Drosophila melanogaster: one gene and its partners. Changing the gene in region 3 together with the main gene of any one other region gives a genetic interaction. Each region holds a gene or a part of one and is shown on either strand. Other genes may lie near its edges.

What was found. A genetic interaction does not mean that the proteins touch.
Region 1: of sli (region 3) and mys, changing one enhances a phenotype caused by changing the other (phenotypic enhancement), as found in Drosophila melanogaster (2 studies listed by BioGRID).
Region 2: of sli (region 3) and Abl, changing one enhances a phenotype caused by changing the other (phenotypic enhancement), as found in Drosophila melanogaster (4 studies listed by BioGRID).

What each region holds. Positions count from the first base shown.
Region 1 is NC_004354.4:8,059,833-8,064,699, reverse strand, and holds the start of mys (myospheroid), read right to left. Parts: upstream 3,056-4,867; 5' UTR 2,975-3,055; exon of another isoform or gene 2,620-2,974; intron 861-2,619; 5' UTR 743-860; coding exon 241-742; intron 168-240; coding exon 1-167. UniProt on the Drosophila melanogaster protein: Integrin alpha-PS1/beta-PS is a receptor for laminin. Integrin alpha-PS2/beta-PS is a receptor for Tig, wb and Ten-m. Contributes to endodermal integrity and adhesion between the midgut epithelium and the surrounding visceral muscle.
Region 2 is NT_037436.4:16,644,828-16,649,434, reverse strand, and holds the start of Abl (Abl tyrosine kinase), read left to right. Parts: upstream 1-1,552; 5' UTR 1,553-2,291; coding exon 2,292-2,625; intron 2,626-4,607. UniProt on the Drosophila melanogaster protein: Arm and Abl proteins function cooperatively at adherens junctions in both the CNS and epidermis; critical for embryonic epithelial morphogenesis regulating cell shape changes and cell migration.
Region 3 is NT_033778.4:15,919,099-15,923,987, reverse strand, and holds the start of sli (slit), read left to right. Parts: upstream 1-1,869; 5' UTR 1,870-2,349; intron 2,350-4,889. Other genes in the region: bdg (bedraggled), read left to right, coding at 1-214, 277-805.

The DNA.
Region 1 (4,867 bases), on a different chromosome or scaffold from region 3:
ATGGAAATTGTTGGTGATGCGTTTCATGGTCTCGGACAACTTGTCGCCCAGCGTAGACAATTTGGCCTTGTCGTCCTCCATAGATTTGGAGAGATCCATCAAGTAGTAGAGATCCACCGGATATCCCTCCGCCTGGGAATAGCTAATCTTGATGTTGTGTTTCTCATCTAAGGTGTATTGATAAGCAAGTAAGGGATTAGTTTGTAGGTCACATGGATGATGCAATCGTTTGCTACTCACTGACGCGCAATGCGAGTCGCATGGACTGCGGTTGGATTTGGACAATTTCGCCGGCAGAGTACTCTTCGTATCCGCTGGCGGAACTGGATCCCGAGGAGCTCTGCGAGTAGAAGCTCGACGAGCTCGAACTCGACGAGTAGGAGCTTGAGCTGCTGCCGGACATGGCGGAGCCGCCGCCACCAGCCGCCAGTTCAGCTTTGTATTGATTCGTTAGTTTGTTGTTCACTAGAATCTGCTCAACTGTTATCGGACTGTAGGCGAACTCCTCCGGACACAGTGAGCTGGTGTTTTGGTAGCACCGCGACTGGCCCTTAAAGTCCGGCTGCATGCACCAGGCGCAACCCTCTGTCTGGATGCAGGTGTGACACTTTTCCTTCGATGCACATGTGCTCACTGCCGTCAGTTTGGCCGCCTTCTGGGCATCCGTTTGTCCAGCGATGGCGGCCAGTATTGCGATCATGAGGAGGGCCAGCTGGCACCTCCGGTTTCTCTCGAGGATCATGGCTTTGGCGGTTAGCGGTTGGTGCAGGTTGTGGATGATTCGGGATGCAGGAGGATCGGATATCCTTGGATGTGCCAGGTGCTGTGTGTGCTCTGTCTCTGTCGCTTCTGTGCGCCGGCTGCAATGGTAAGTGAATTAAAATTGTTGGATTTAGCACTAGATGTTAAGTAAGGGGCAGAAATTATTATAAAAGCCATTCCTGGTTCACTTATATTTCTAATGCTACATATTTTATATTATTTTTTTTTATATGCCTTAATCTTTCATTTATTTTTAAGACACAATTTGATTTCTTCGATTTCGCTGCAATTTTTACGAACGCCGGTGTACGTAAAAGTCCAGCTGCTGACTGCACTGCTTGTCGAGCACTGCTTTCTCCGCGTGCCCTGCTTTTTTCTTTATTGCAACAACAAACAACAGCAAATGGCCGCACATCTGTCCCCTTTTTTTGTTGTTTCTTTCGCTCTACCTTAATGTTTAATTTTATTTTCTCATCAACTTGGCCAGATGACTCATCTCACAAACACACACACACACCAAGCGATTGATGTACGAACTTGTGTGTGGGTGTGCGTGCCTGCGTGCTTTTGTTGTTTTTTTTTGTTGGCCTCCGAAAAGAAAAGGAAAAAAGCGGAAGGAAGAGAGCTTTCGATAAACGTCAAATGCAATGCGAATTACTCATTCGAGCACGTTCCGTTAGCACGCTCTCTCGCTCTCTTGGCTCCTGGCAAAATGTAAACAAAGGCCGAACGAACAATGAGTGGTCATTGAGTCAGCTTCGCTGGGTTTCCTTTCCGCCTAAAGCCACATGAATCACTCACTCCAAGCCACTCAAGACTCAAATCAAAATTCCATATGCACGGAACGGAAAAAAAAGGGCTGCAGATTACGTATACGTATGGGTGTTGTGTTGGTCGGCTATTTTTAAACGCCCACGCACACACAACACAACGAACACTAACACACCACAGAGCTTGATTTGCAGCAGATCGTGTGCCGAAAGGAAAACAAACTAAAAACGACTAAGCCCATGTTTATATACCCTTGGATTGAATAATTTCATTCGATTATCATTTATACACCCAGTCACAGCATATCAAAGTTATGAGTTGTGCACTTAGTAGTAGTTTTAATCAGTTTTTTAGCTAGCAAATTCGTAATACTATAAACCGCCTGAGTAAACAGCATCTGCAGCGCATAGTTTCAACCACGGATGGACGCCCACAGCCATTGGGCCAAAAACGAGGCACATCTGGGCCGCCCACATGTGGGCGTACTGGTTAAACCAGCGGCGCGCAGAGGATTTCATTTTTTTTATTGTTTTTTTTTTGATAGCTTTGGTAAAATTGGTTTTTACTTCCAGTTACAGTTGGTTTCAAATTCGGTTGGCTGTTTATAAAGTGGACAATTACCCCGAAAATCTGGGCAATCCCCTGACAAACACAAATTCCTGCTGCTGCCACTGAGCTCTTGATTTTTGTACGCTCTTTTCGCTTCTGCCTACGTACTCTACTCGATTTTTAGTTCGAGTGCAAGATCTCCGGGGTGGGGAAGTTGCACTGAAAAGGGAGGGGGCGTAATCAGCAATTGGCGTCGCGAAGTCGCCGATATGCACACTCAAAGAAATAAATAAATATGATGAATAATAATAACAAAAAAAATGAAACGAGTGAATGTATCGTGAGGATTCATTATTTTTTTTAGCTCAACAAACAACCCACACACAGATACGGCGTTCGGTGTGTGCGTGCCTGTGTGTCGTCACTGCGAATGAAATCATCGAAAAAAGAGGAGATAAAAGTAGCGCTTCGATATTGCTTCCTCTTTTTTTGGGCAAATGCAGCCCGGAATCCATTGATTTCTTACGTAATACCCACTATTTCACCCGCTATCTGATTAATCGCAGCACTTTGGCTTAACTTTCGCTGCGTTTTCGCTGATAATTCGCGATATTAATTTCCATCAGGGCGGCACTTTTCTTATTTTGATTTGCCTTCTCGCACACTTGTGGAGTTCCCACTCACACGCACACACTCGCACACTAAACACTAGCACTGTGCACACACGCAGTTATTACAATTACTTGCCACCGTTATTCGCTAGATCAGCGAATTTAACTCTTATCGGGTGACACGAAAAACCAAAAAAAAAAATACAATTCGACTGCAGAAGCAGCAGCTGAAGGCCGCCAATTGGTGTCGGGAATTGGATTTGGATTAAATTAATATTTACTGCTTTGCTTTGTCCGCGGATCTGGTCTGTTGTTCAGTGTTACCAGATGGTGTCAGCAGGGGGTGGAACAACAGTCAATGTTCTTTCGATATTTGCCATCCGATGTTCGCCAGTGTTGTTAAATAGCTCTGGTCACACCGAGCCTAGGAACAGTGTTGCACAGTTTTGGAGGACTGTGTCTCCGCTAAAAGAGACATTTGTGCTCGCAAACACAATCCGATAAGTAATCGAGAAACACGTAAAGGAACTCTGGTTATCGGAGTCACTTATTGCACGATAGTTTCAGACAAAAACGCCTGCTTATATCGATGACAGCCTTGTTTTTGTTGCGCTTACGTTACGAAATTAATGTAAAGTAGCCGACGAATCTACGTTCTACCAGTATAAATGGATTAAAACTAACAACAGCATAAGTGTAAACTGCTGGTGAATTTCCCAAATAGCCATATGAAAAAGCTAAAAGTACGTGCAAATGGTTGAGAAAAGGAGAGAACGAAAGCCACTATGAGTTTGCGAGAGTATGTGTGACTACTTTGCTCTCTGGCTCTCTCTATCACACACACTCGCACAGAACGCTCTTCTCACATGCTCTCTCTCGGCCGGTAGCTCTAGCTGTCCCGCTCTCGATTTATCAATAAAAGCAGTGCGTTAGAGCGGCATAGCCGCATGTACCAAGCGCGTGCGCCTCGTGCCCGTCGGCTGTCCATGTGTGCGTGTGTATTCGCATTTTCAGTAATTTCGAAAAAAAATTTTGTATATTTGATGGCGACTCAGAAGAAACTCGCGCGTTTGTCGAAAAATCGTAGCGCGTACGTATATATCGGTGTGTAGAAATTACTAAAAATTGTGGTAAAAAATGGCAAAAATTATATAAATTTGTGTTCGAAGTGGAGTGCTAATTGCGGGGGATCAGATGCGAATGGAAAAATGTTGAAATTTATAAGATTTTAGCGCCAAAAAATGCATTTGAAAAATGTGAGACTTCAATGGACATGACAAATTTTTTTTTTCATTTTTTTCGGTGGTGGAACAAAAGCGAACGAAAGAGGAGCAAGAAGCAGAAACGTTCGTCAGTGTGTGTGCGTGTGTGTGTCGAGTGAGGGGGCATGAGCATGAACGTGTGTAGTCACCAAGTGAATAATATTAACAAATAAAAGAAGAAAAAACGAAAAAAGAGGAATACACACGCAGAAGCGCGCGAAAAGTTTCACTCGAAATGAGAAAAAACAAAAGCAAAATATACTAGCGCTAGTTGATTTTCGCTAGCAAAAAGAAACCGACGTGCACATTGAAAATCTATAATTTTGTCGATTTTGTTATTGTATTTTTTGATTTTGCGGTTTTGCGGCGCCGTCGGTAACGTTAGCATACCGTTACGTGGCCTACGTAGCGTGGTGACGTACAGAAGACGCTTACGTTGTGGGTTACGTTACATTTGTCGCTGGGGATTTTACTCTTTCTCCCTCTCTTTACGCCACACTCATTCTCTGGCGCGCGCAAATCCAAAAATCTCGAGAAAAAAAATAGTGCCCGATGTGACCAATATTTTTTGTTTTTATTTTTACAGTTGCAACTTTTTAACAATCGTGTACAATCTGTATGTTGTATATGTTCAATTCAAAATTCAGCAACAATAGCAACAACGCAATTCAGCAACAACAACAAACAAAACCGACAAGCTAAACTTGGCTAAGACAAAATCAACATCCAGCGGCAGCGCGGCCATAAACAAAGCCAAAATCAAAAGTCATTCGGATATATACATATATTCGCCCATAATAGCGAATAAACAGTAACAGAACGAGTGGATTTAACGAAACAACAAAAAGAAAAGAAGAACGATAAAATCCAAAGGAAAAGTAAGTTTAAAAAGTGCAGCGCACGTGGCGTTTA
Region 2 (4,607 bases), on a different chromosome or scaffold from region 3:
GCCTTCAGTTTGGATATCGCACAGTTTGCGATACTTGAACGACAGGCATTTTTGGTTGAAATTGAATTTGATTTACTGGAGAACTGTTTTCCTAAAATCACTTGTAGTTGGGGTCTGAGAACTTTGTACTTCTAAGTCTATACGCATATATATTTATAAAAACCTATATTAACGGAATATTAAACACGTGAAAACGGAATACCAACCAATAACAAAACACTAAGTTAGTCTATTGTTCCAAGATCCAGAGCGCAAATTGTTATTGTAAAGTAATAAACTGTTTTCAAATCTGTAAGAACAAACAATATTTATAACAGTCGAAAAGACGTCTGATAAAATGTTGCTGACTGACTGGATTAAGTCGAAGCATTGTCATAGTCACCAATAAAATATTTTTGAAATTTTAACATATATTCCAGTCAGTCAGTATAGTTTTAACCAGTGTGTCAGTCATGCTGCAATACAAAAAGTTCGATTCTGTTAGGGGAAGGCATTTATTTAGTTAACCTGTGTTAAATGCATTTGAATATTCCTTCAAATTTCTTGCTGCTTTTTGGTAACTTAACAAAGCCACAGAAAGTCCTTGAACGTAACAAAAAAAAAAAAAAAAAAGAACGTAAAATAATAATAACCAGAGAAAAATTAAATTATATTTATACTTGTAAGCGAACAGAACAGAAGAGATCGCATGTGAAAGAGCAAAACCGAGAAAATGAAAAGCAAAAGTCCTACTTGAAAAGTTAATTTAGTGTAAGCGAGGAAAATGTAACTGAAAATGAAATCGGAGCAGAAGCTGAAGGAGGATCGTGTGAATGGAGAGAAGGATCGATTGATACTGAACTCTAGCAGGAGAGAGAAATTGAAACGAACAAACTTGAAATTTCTGTCGGGTATACATACTAAATAATAACTAAGCAAGAACACTAAAGATTGAGAATGCTAAACAAAACCAACGGATAAATAAAACGTAACAAACGGAAAAGGATGGAAAGTATTGCAGTTGTATTTATTAGTCGGGCTAAATGGGAATTTATGAATACATCTAAAGGCATATTATAAAAACCGTAGCTTGATTATTCGATGTTTTTAAATGTCAATTACATTTTGATTTGAGTCAGTTTTCTCTTAAAATCAATAAACTAAACTAGGGTTGACGCAATAGTCGAAAAAATTCGAAGTGTATCCATGAAAAATTAAAGATAATGTTATAAGTTGCATTGCATTGAAAATCTAAAGAGAATAAACTTTTCCTAGAAAGCTATATCAAGATTCTTTTAATTCAAATTATGTGTTTTAAACGTTTGAATTTAATTTTTTTTTGAACAACCAAAAATTAGTGTTCACAATCATGGAGTTTTTAAGCACTGGCTTACTAAGCTAAGTTAACCACCCAACCAGTCCGTGTCGCGCACCCATCATATTGCATTAGCCGAGTTTCTTACCAAACTAGCGCTGCCAACGCGTTCGTAAGTACTAAGCATTTATTATCAATATCGATACGTCTATCGGTATGCTGCCAAGTAGGGTATGTTTAAACGACCGACAAGCGGTCACACGAGTGCAAGTTGGATTCCAATTCGATCCGTCGCGGTGCGTGGAAAAAATGCACAGATGTAGATAAATCAGCAAGCAACGCTAGCAGATCAGATAGAGCTATATCGTCGCGAAAACCGATTAATTTGCCATGTTCAGCGGATCAGCCTGCGGATCAATTAAACCGTAAAAAACAGAGCAGGCGAGCGTAAGCAAGAGAGAGAGGTGAAGCCAGAGGCGGAGGCGCAAGACAAAGTGCATTTTCAGGGCGTGTTTTTGAGACCCCCCTCGCCAGTTAAGCTCACCCAGCCTCCCAGCCGTCGACAAGAAGTTTGCCGACACAACATTTTACCAACATGCTGCAAATTCGCAATTGCACCTGAGCGGCCACTAGAACAACAAATCAGATAAATCGCAAACTTCCTTTTTCCTCCGTGCGTGTGTACTTCTGTGTGTGCGTGAGTGTCTCCAATCTTTTTTGTCTACTCCAAAAACGCAGAAAGAGAAAGAAAAATGTGTGCGTGTGTGTGTGTGAAATAAATTAAAGCAAAGCAAAAGGCAAAACGGCAAATAATTGAGCAAAAGGCCAAGAGAGAAGAGTTAAAGCTGAAGTATATAACAAGAAAAGCAAAGCAAATAATAAGTAGTAGTAGTAAGCGAATAAGCCGTAGCAGCAGGAGCCGAGAGAAGAGAGAGAAAAGTGTACAAGTTGTTGTTGCTGCGCAAGAGCGAAAAACCACCCAACCACCCACTGGCAAATGGGGGCTCAGCAGGGCAAGGACAGGGGCGCCCACTCGGGAGGAGGCGGCTCGGGGGCCCCCGTCAGCTGCATCGGCCTCTCCAGCAGCCCAGTGGCCTCCGTTTCCCCCCACTGCATCTCCAGTTCCAGCGGCGTCAGCAGCGCCCCCCTCGGCGGGGGCTCCACGCTCCGTGGCTCCCGCATCAAGTCCTCGTCCTCCGGCGTGGCCAGTGGCAGCGGATCGGGCGGAGGCGGTGGCGGATCCGGATCGGGGCTGAGCCAGCGTAGTGGCGGACACAAGGATGCACGCTGCAATCCCACCGTGGGTCTCAACATATTCACCGAGCATAACGGTAAGTTCCTGCAAGTGTTGGAAAACAGGCATCGAAAGCATGCTAAGTACACAGAGCAAAAAGCATATTTTCAAAATTTGAAAGCCTTGTTAAGTCAAATTAAACGAAAAACGTCTGTACATAGTGCACGCTCAATCAAAATCGTTTTTATAAAATTAGGTGTGCACTAAAATTTTGTTTTCTATTCGAAGTTATTTAGTGGTTTGATCATTTTGTGTTTCGATTTCTGTAAGCTTGACTTATTTCTCATTGGTGTTTCTTCTTTTACATTGGATCTTAGAATTATTTTCTTGCACATTGTAGTTTGAGTTAAAAAGGCATCAATCGTAGAAATCATCTGGACCAAATCGATCTGTATAAGTGTTGTGTAACATACATATAAAAGTCAGAGGATGCACAAACATGCATACATTTGGAGGTCCCATTCACTTACACACTAATTGTAAAAAATTGCATGCAGCCTCCAAACTCAGGTGTAAATTCCATCATAGTATTGTGACTTTTCTTATTATACATGGAAATTGTTGTTGCTGTATTGCCAATTGCTCAGAGTTGTGTTATCTCACATCCACCACAATCATTTCAATTCGTGATGAAATCTTTTGATATTCCATACAACAGTTTTTAAGGACATTCAAGAAATCAGTAACTAAAAACTTATTCAATGGGGGTACTTTCAATAAAAAAATGCTTTTTTAAGCGTGCTCTTGCCATTAAATCTCTTTTGTAAATATCATGTAAGTTTTGATTTATCTGCCAGTTTGGGCTGCACAGTGTTGTATTTATTGTTCATAAAGTGCAGTCCACTCGGCTTTCCCTTTCCCCCTCTCTCCTTCTTTATGATCCCCGCCCTTCCTCTATATACGCTGCTTTCCAATTGAGCCAATTTCTTTTTTCCTCCATTTCTTCCGATTATATAGGAAATTATTGTTGTTATTGCCGGCTAGTTTCATACTTGTTGTTGCTTTTCCGCTGCTTTTGTTTACTGGAGAGAAGGAGAATGAATGAGAAAGAAAAGTGAAGGAGAGAAGAGAAAAGAGAGAGAGCAGCACGCGTTGCTGTTGTTTTTGTGCTGCTTGGGGCGGTTTCAATCCGCATTCGTGCTCTCCATCATCCTTTATCCTTCGGCCTTCCTCGTGGCACCCTTATCCCTGCCACCCGCACAGTGGTTGAAATTGCGACCCACAACACCGTTATCCCACCCCCGCTGACATATTGCCATTTCCTCCACTTTTCCGCATTTCCCCTTGCATTTTTCCTGCCCTTCACGCACTCACGCACATTTTTATTTGCCTCATTTTTTTGTCTAATACTTTTCCATTATTTGCCCTGCCAAGCTGCATAATTTTTTCTTTACATCCTCCCCGTTTCCGCATTTTCCGCACACCCACTTATTGGGAGACATTTGCCGTTTCTAATAGCTTTTTTATGTCCATGTCGACGAAGTCCTACCACAATAGGACCCACAATCGGGTGGCATTCGGGATTTTCTCAAGACTACCGGAAAAACATTTGTCAGGTTATAATAGTTACGCAGACTCAGTGGTAGAACTTTTTTTTTAACAAAAAGCATAACTATGTATGAGAATACATGACGAGGGTCGTATTAATAGTAAGGTAGTTTTTTAACTTGAAATCGTGTTGCCTTATTCCCCTGACAATTGCAAGCCATTTTCGCAACAGCTGTTTCAAACTGAAAGTGGACTTTTCCGAGTTTTGATATTTACACGCGCGACAATCTGTTCCTAAATGTATTAAATCCATAAATTTGCTTAAGTTCGAAAATTGAAATTTAATCCTTTATTATTTTACTTTTTAACTTTTGATGTAAATACTTCCTTTTGCAAACTATTCATCTCCCAAACGAATGGCTTGGCCAAAGTATTGATTTTTCCTTGGCACTCCAAGCTGAGCCACTTTTCCCAGATGATTTACAATAAGCTGTAGATTTTTCTTCTTGCTCTTCTCAACTGGAAGCCATT
Region 3 (4,889 bases):
CGCCCGAGGAGGGAGAGGAACCGCGTCGTCCATCCGCTCGACAAACGGCGTCCCAAAGTCGTCGTAATGCTTTGGGCCAGACCACGGAGGGCGGCCAACACGATGCACAGAACGATGCTCCGCCAAAGTACACACCACCTCCGTCCTACACAACGGCCACTGGAGCCCGCCTTGCCAAGCTTCTGCGCCAGAGCATTCGCCGCAGCGTAAGAAGGTACATAAAAACCATCCCTTAATATAAACAAAAAGTTATTTACGACCAATTTATCGACACAGGGTTCTCGGAGACTCAAGTCGAACGCGACCCGTGCTCTCCCTCGATGCGGAGTCTGCTTCGCCAGCGGCGCCGCCTGATTACCTAACCATACTGACCAATCCGGCTGGCAGTAGTTTCAACGCGGATCCTTCGCCAGCTTCCAGCAGCAGTCCCGAGTCCATAGAGATCGACCAGCGACCCGTTGGCTACTCCCAACGCTCGCAATCGTTGGGCAGGAAACTGCATCGTTCGGGTGCTTCGACACTGGAGAGGCGGCCCTATACGGCGGAGGATGTGGTGACCATACTGCGCTCCTCGGTGCGACATCGCCAGTCGCAGGGAGGCGGAAATTTGGTCACTGCCAGCACCCTGCCTCGCCCCCCAACCGCCGCCATGTCCACGCACTTGGAGGACGCCTCATTCCGATCCATAGAGAATCTTGTGCTGAATGCCGAGCCACCGGACAGAACGCCCGGTGTGGAGCTGGAGCTCGAATTGGAGGCTGGACAGGCGGAGGAGTGCGCGCGAAATAATACATCTGTGATTTAACTGACTAATATCGTACCGTACATAGCGTAACTCTTATGCGATCCACATATCCGCTTGCTTTCTTAGACTTGATTAGCGCTAGTTATCTAAATACGAATATTACCTTGTAGTTATGCGAATAATAACGAAAACAACTAGTTGGTACTCCCAAGTGTGAGCTCTTTTGATCCCTACAACCGGTATTCCCAGTTCGATCCAACCCACCCCATTTAATTCCATTTCACATATATTTTAGGCTTACGGATCGCGCCTGTCTGCACAGTTGCCCTTAAAATTATCCCAACAATGGAGTAGGCCTCCTACGTGCCCAGCTCTCGAGGGTCAGCTATTTAAGGGAATACGTACTTGGGCCCTAAGCCGATTAACAAACGTGACCAGTTGAATAAAAAAAGTGAAAATAAACGGAAGTCCAGGATGGCGTAGCCAACAAAGGCGCCTAATGAGGCGGGCCAGGAAGTTGCTGCATATTTCGATTAAAATGTCACGCCATTTCTTTTGTTTTCTTTGTGACTTGCATATTCCAAAGGGATTGGCCTGCAAAAAAGTTAATCCGCGGAATTTTTAAATCAGCACGAATTGGCGGTTATTATTTTAATATCTGGCAGCGCTGGTTCAAAGAACCAGTTCAAATGGGTTGAGTCTCGGCTAGAACTTTTGTGAAGTTCACACAATAATTGATACCGTTATTTTTACTTATAATTAGTAATTTTAATGCTAGAAATACATAAATAACAATTGAGACCTATATAAAAGCAAGTGATAAGGGTTCTTATACAAGCCAATGTGTGTAGTACAACTACTCTATAATTTGGGATGATAGTTATAAAGTTTTAAATAAATATATATTTTCATGAAAATATTATCAACACTTTAATAATGAACGAGTTTTTGGACCCTTATTAACCATAATATTTGAAATTTAAGTTGGAACAAGAAACTTTTAAACTGTTGGCGAACGCGGTATTTTTTAGGCCCTTCTTGCCGGGTGAGGTTACTCCTGCATCTGGTAACACTGCTCGGCAGCGAAACAGAAACATAAAAAATTCGAACGGCGACGAGAGCGGTCAGACGCACGCATCACTTTCAATCGCGTCGCGTAGAGCGTCCAAAAAGAATTATAGTATAAACCAAGAGTGAAGATTCCGGTGAGCAAAGAATTTGCAATTGCCAAACTTAAGCAAAAACCATAAAGTGTGCATTGGCAATTGAAGTCGCGCGTTCTTAGCCAATCCACATTTGCACGGCCATTTTAAAGCCAAGTTAAGGCCAAAGTTTTCTGCCGCGCCGTCTTCGTAAGTCGCAGGTCGAAAAGTGCTCAAACGAGATTTCCACTTGAAATTCCTGAATTTCGTTTGTCTGCGCGAATCGCATCGAATCGAATTGAAGCACAAATCGCAGCAGCAGAAAAGCGCAAAAGTCGAATTTAAATTCCGTCTGCAAAGTGCCGAAAATTAGTGTCTTTGTTGTGTTAGTGTTTTGTTTCTTTGTCTGTGTGGGTGTTACGATTACGATTGGATTAGCGGTGTTTTCGCCTGATTAAAACGGTAAGTGTCCTTGCGATAATCCTGCGTGCAAAGTTAGTTAGCTGGTGCCAAGTTCGCTCGCCACTCACACACCTCCACCGCCGCCACTCACAACTTATTTTGCTGCAATTTGCTCTAGTGTTTTGTATTAGCATTTTTATGTCCCGCCTCGCCAAAGTTGACAAACAAAAACGTACACACACACACATACACGCACCGACACGTAAGCACACGCACACAAAGGATTTCATTACATTTTGGGTGGGACGTAACGGTAACGTTGAAGTGTAACGTATAACCCTCCCCTCGTTCTATCTCTTTCCCGCCCAAAGCCCCGAATGCTGTGCTACCGAATTTGTTTTCGCCTTCGCTCAGTTCTGTTTTCTCCTGTTTTTATTTATTTTGATGGCGTATTTTGCCATTCCGCTTTGTTCGTATTGCGTATCCTGTCGCCTGCGCTATCCTTCTACAGTCGCATCTGGCTAGAAGGAACTATCGTGTGCCTCAGTCACATGAAAAATATTACACTTACGTAGGTGATTTGATTTTTAAATGTATAAAGTCCCCTTCAAATTGCTAATTGAAAAATATATAAGTTCATGTACATAATCTTATTATGTCATCAATTAGAACCACAACATCTTTGGTTTCCCATTAGTATTTATAGTAACATTTTCTGAGCCCAGGGTATTCTGGTTTCACTGTACATTTTTCGCTGTCAGCTTTTCTTCCTAGTTTCTGCCAGCATTGAAATGAGTTCGCAATAAATATTGCCCAATGTCAAATAAAAGGGCGATGAGCCAGCCTTTTTCCGCCATGGCCCCTTTCCACCTCGGCCTATCTCCTCCATTCGCTCTAATCTCGGGGGACACTAATGCTTTACGACAATTCCTATGCCGTATGCCGCCCAGTACAAACTTAATGCACACATCAATGGCAAATTAGATATACTCCACAGCAAATGTACTAATAACAATCATCGAGTGCGTGTGCGGGCGGGCTTCCGATTCATCCCATACCATACCATACCATACGATACGATACCATCCCGAACCATTCCATCCCACACATACGTCCTCTCAAGACGATTGTTTTGTTGATTTGGCTGTTACTTCCAATACATTGGCATTTAAGGGGCAGAATTGGGATCCACTTATGTGCCTGCCTTATGTCTCATTTGTCGTCGGGCAAATGGAAATCGTTTTGTTTTTGCCTTGTCAAGTGACAAATTTTCATTGTCTCCCGCCACTAATCGCTTACTTAAAACAAAAAAAAAAACCAAAAAAATGAAGAAGATACCACGCCAAAGACTCCAAACAAGAAATAAGACAAGTGTAAATAAACACTTGAGGAGGAGGGAGCGTGGGATCGGGAGTCACGACTAACCGATATCCTCTGTACAGTGTGGGCGGGGGCATATACGCAATGACATTATCATAAAAGGTGCACATGCCAGAAGTTAAGTCGCGACAACTTTCCGTTATAACTTTCAATAACCTTTGTTGTTTGCTCCAATAAAAGCATTTTAATCGATACTCTTGACTTGTGTCAATCCATTCGGATTTGTTTTTGGTTACTAATGGATGTAATGTATGAAGTTATTGGGGCGGCATAAATTAAGAACTTATTTCCTTTGTGGATTTCACGTTACTAAACAGATGGTGATGTGACGCAAATGAAGTCCTAACAAAAGGATATTTATATATATGGTATTCTTTCGCCTAGCTATTTACCTGTATTTTCATATTTATAAAAATACTAAAAGGCCATTCATATTTTATATGGCGTGTGGTCTAATTACTTATTTTTATGACCTAGAGAAGCAAAGATTATAAATTAGCCGTTAAACATTCCTTTCCTCCATCGTACATACCTTTCGATACCCTGTAAATTCCAGTGTATGTACTTAGAGTACGCACACGTACTTGCCTCTTTTGGTGGCATTGCCCGCGGCACCTTCACTTGGCGCAGCTTGCCTTAATTTCCAGCGGACAAACCACTTTGTTATCGCCACGCCGAGGGCCCTTTAATCTCTGGTAGTCCCTGGTTGGCTGGTCAGACCCACCTCCATCTCCGTCGCCTGCCCATTGATTTACGTCTCTATTTTCCAAATGTAGCGCAATCGATTTAGATTGATTTTGTTTAAACAAACTGCACAGCGCAGCAGAAGCAGCAGCATAAAAGGCACCAGAAAGTGTAATAAATAATTGGAAACGGAATCGTTGGGCTGATTTTAATGCCAGCGTTAATTGCGAGAGCCACCCAATTTCATTTCCATTTCCATGCCCAATCGAAATCCAAATGCCATTCCCCAACCCTCCCCATACCTTCAACATTTTCATGCCGATGTAGCGATGCCCTAGGCCAATTCCAAATCCAAATCCAATTCCTATTCCTATTCCTATTCCATCGATGCTTTGGTAATTAGTTGTGAATTGGATTGGGGATCACATAAAAGTGTTGATTACACACTCCGATGGCTGCGCCCCCAGCCACGCCCCCTTCCCGGCTGGGTGCCAAGTGTTTTGTTTGTGTTTATCTCGTCTTCGACGTGTCTTTTT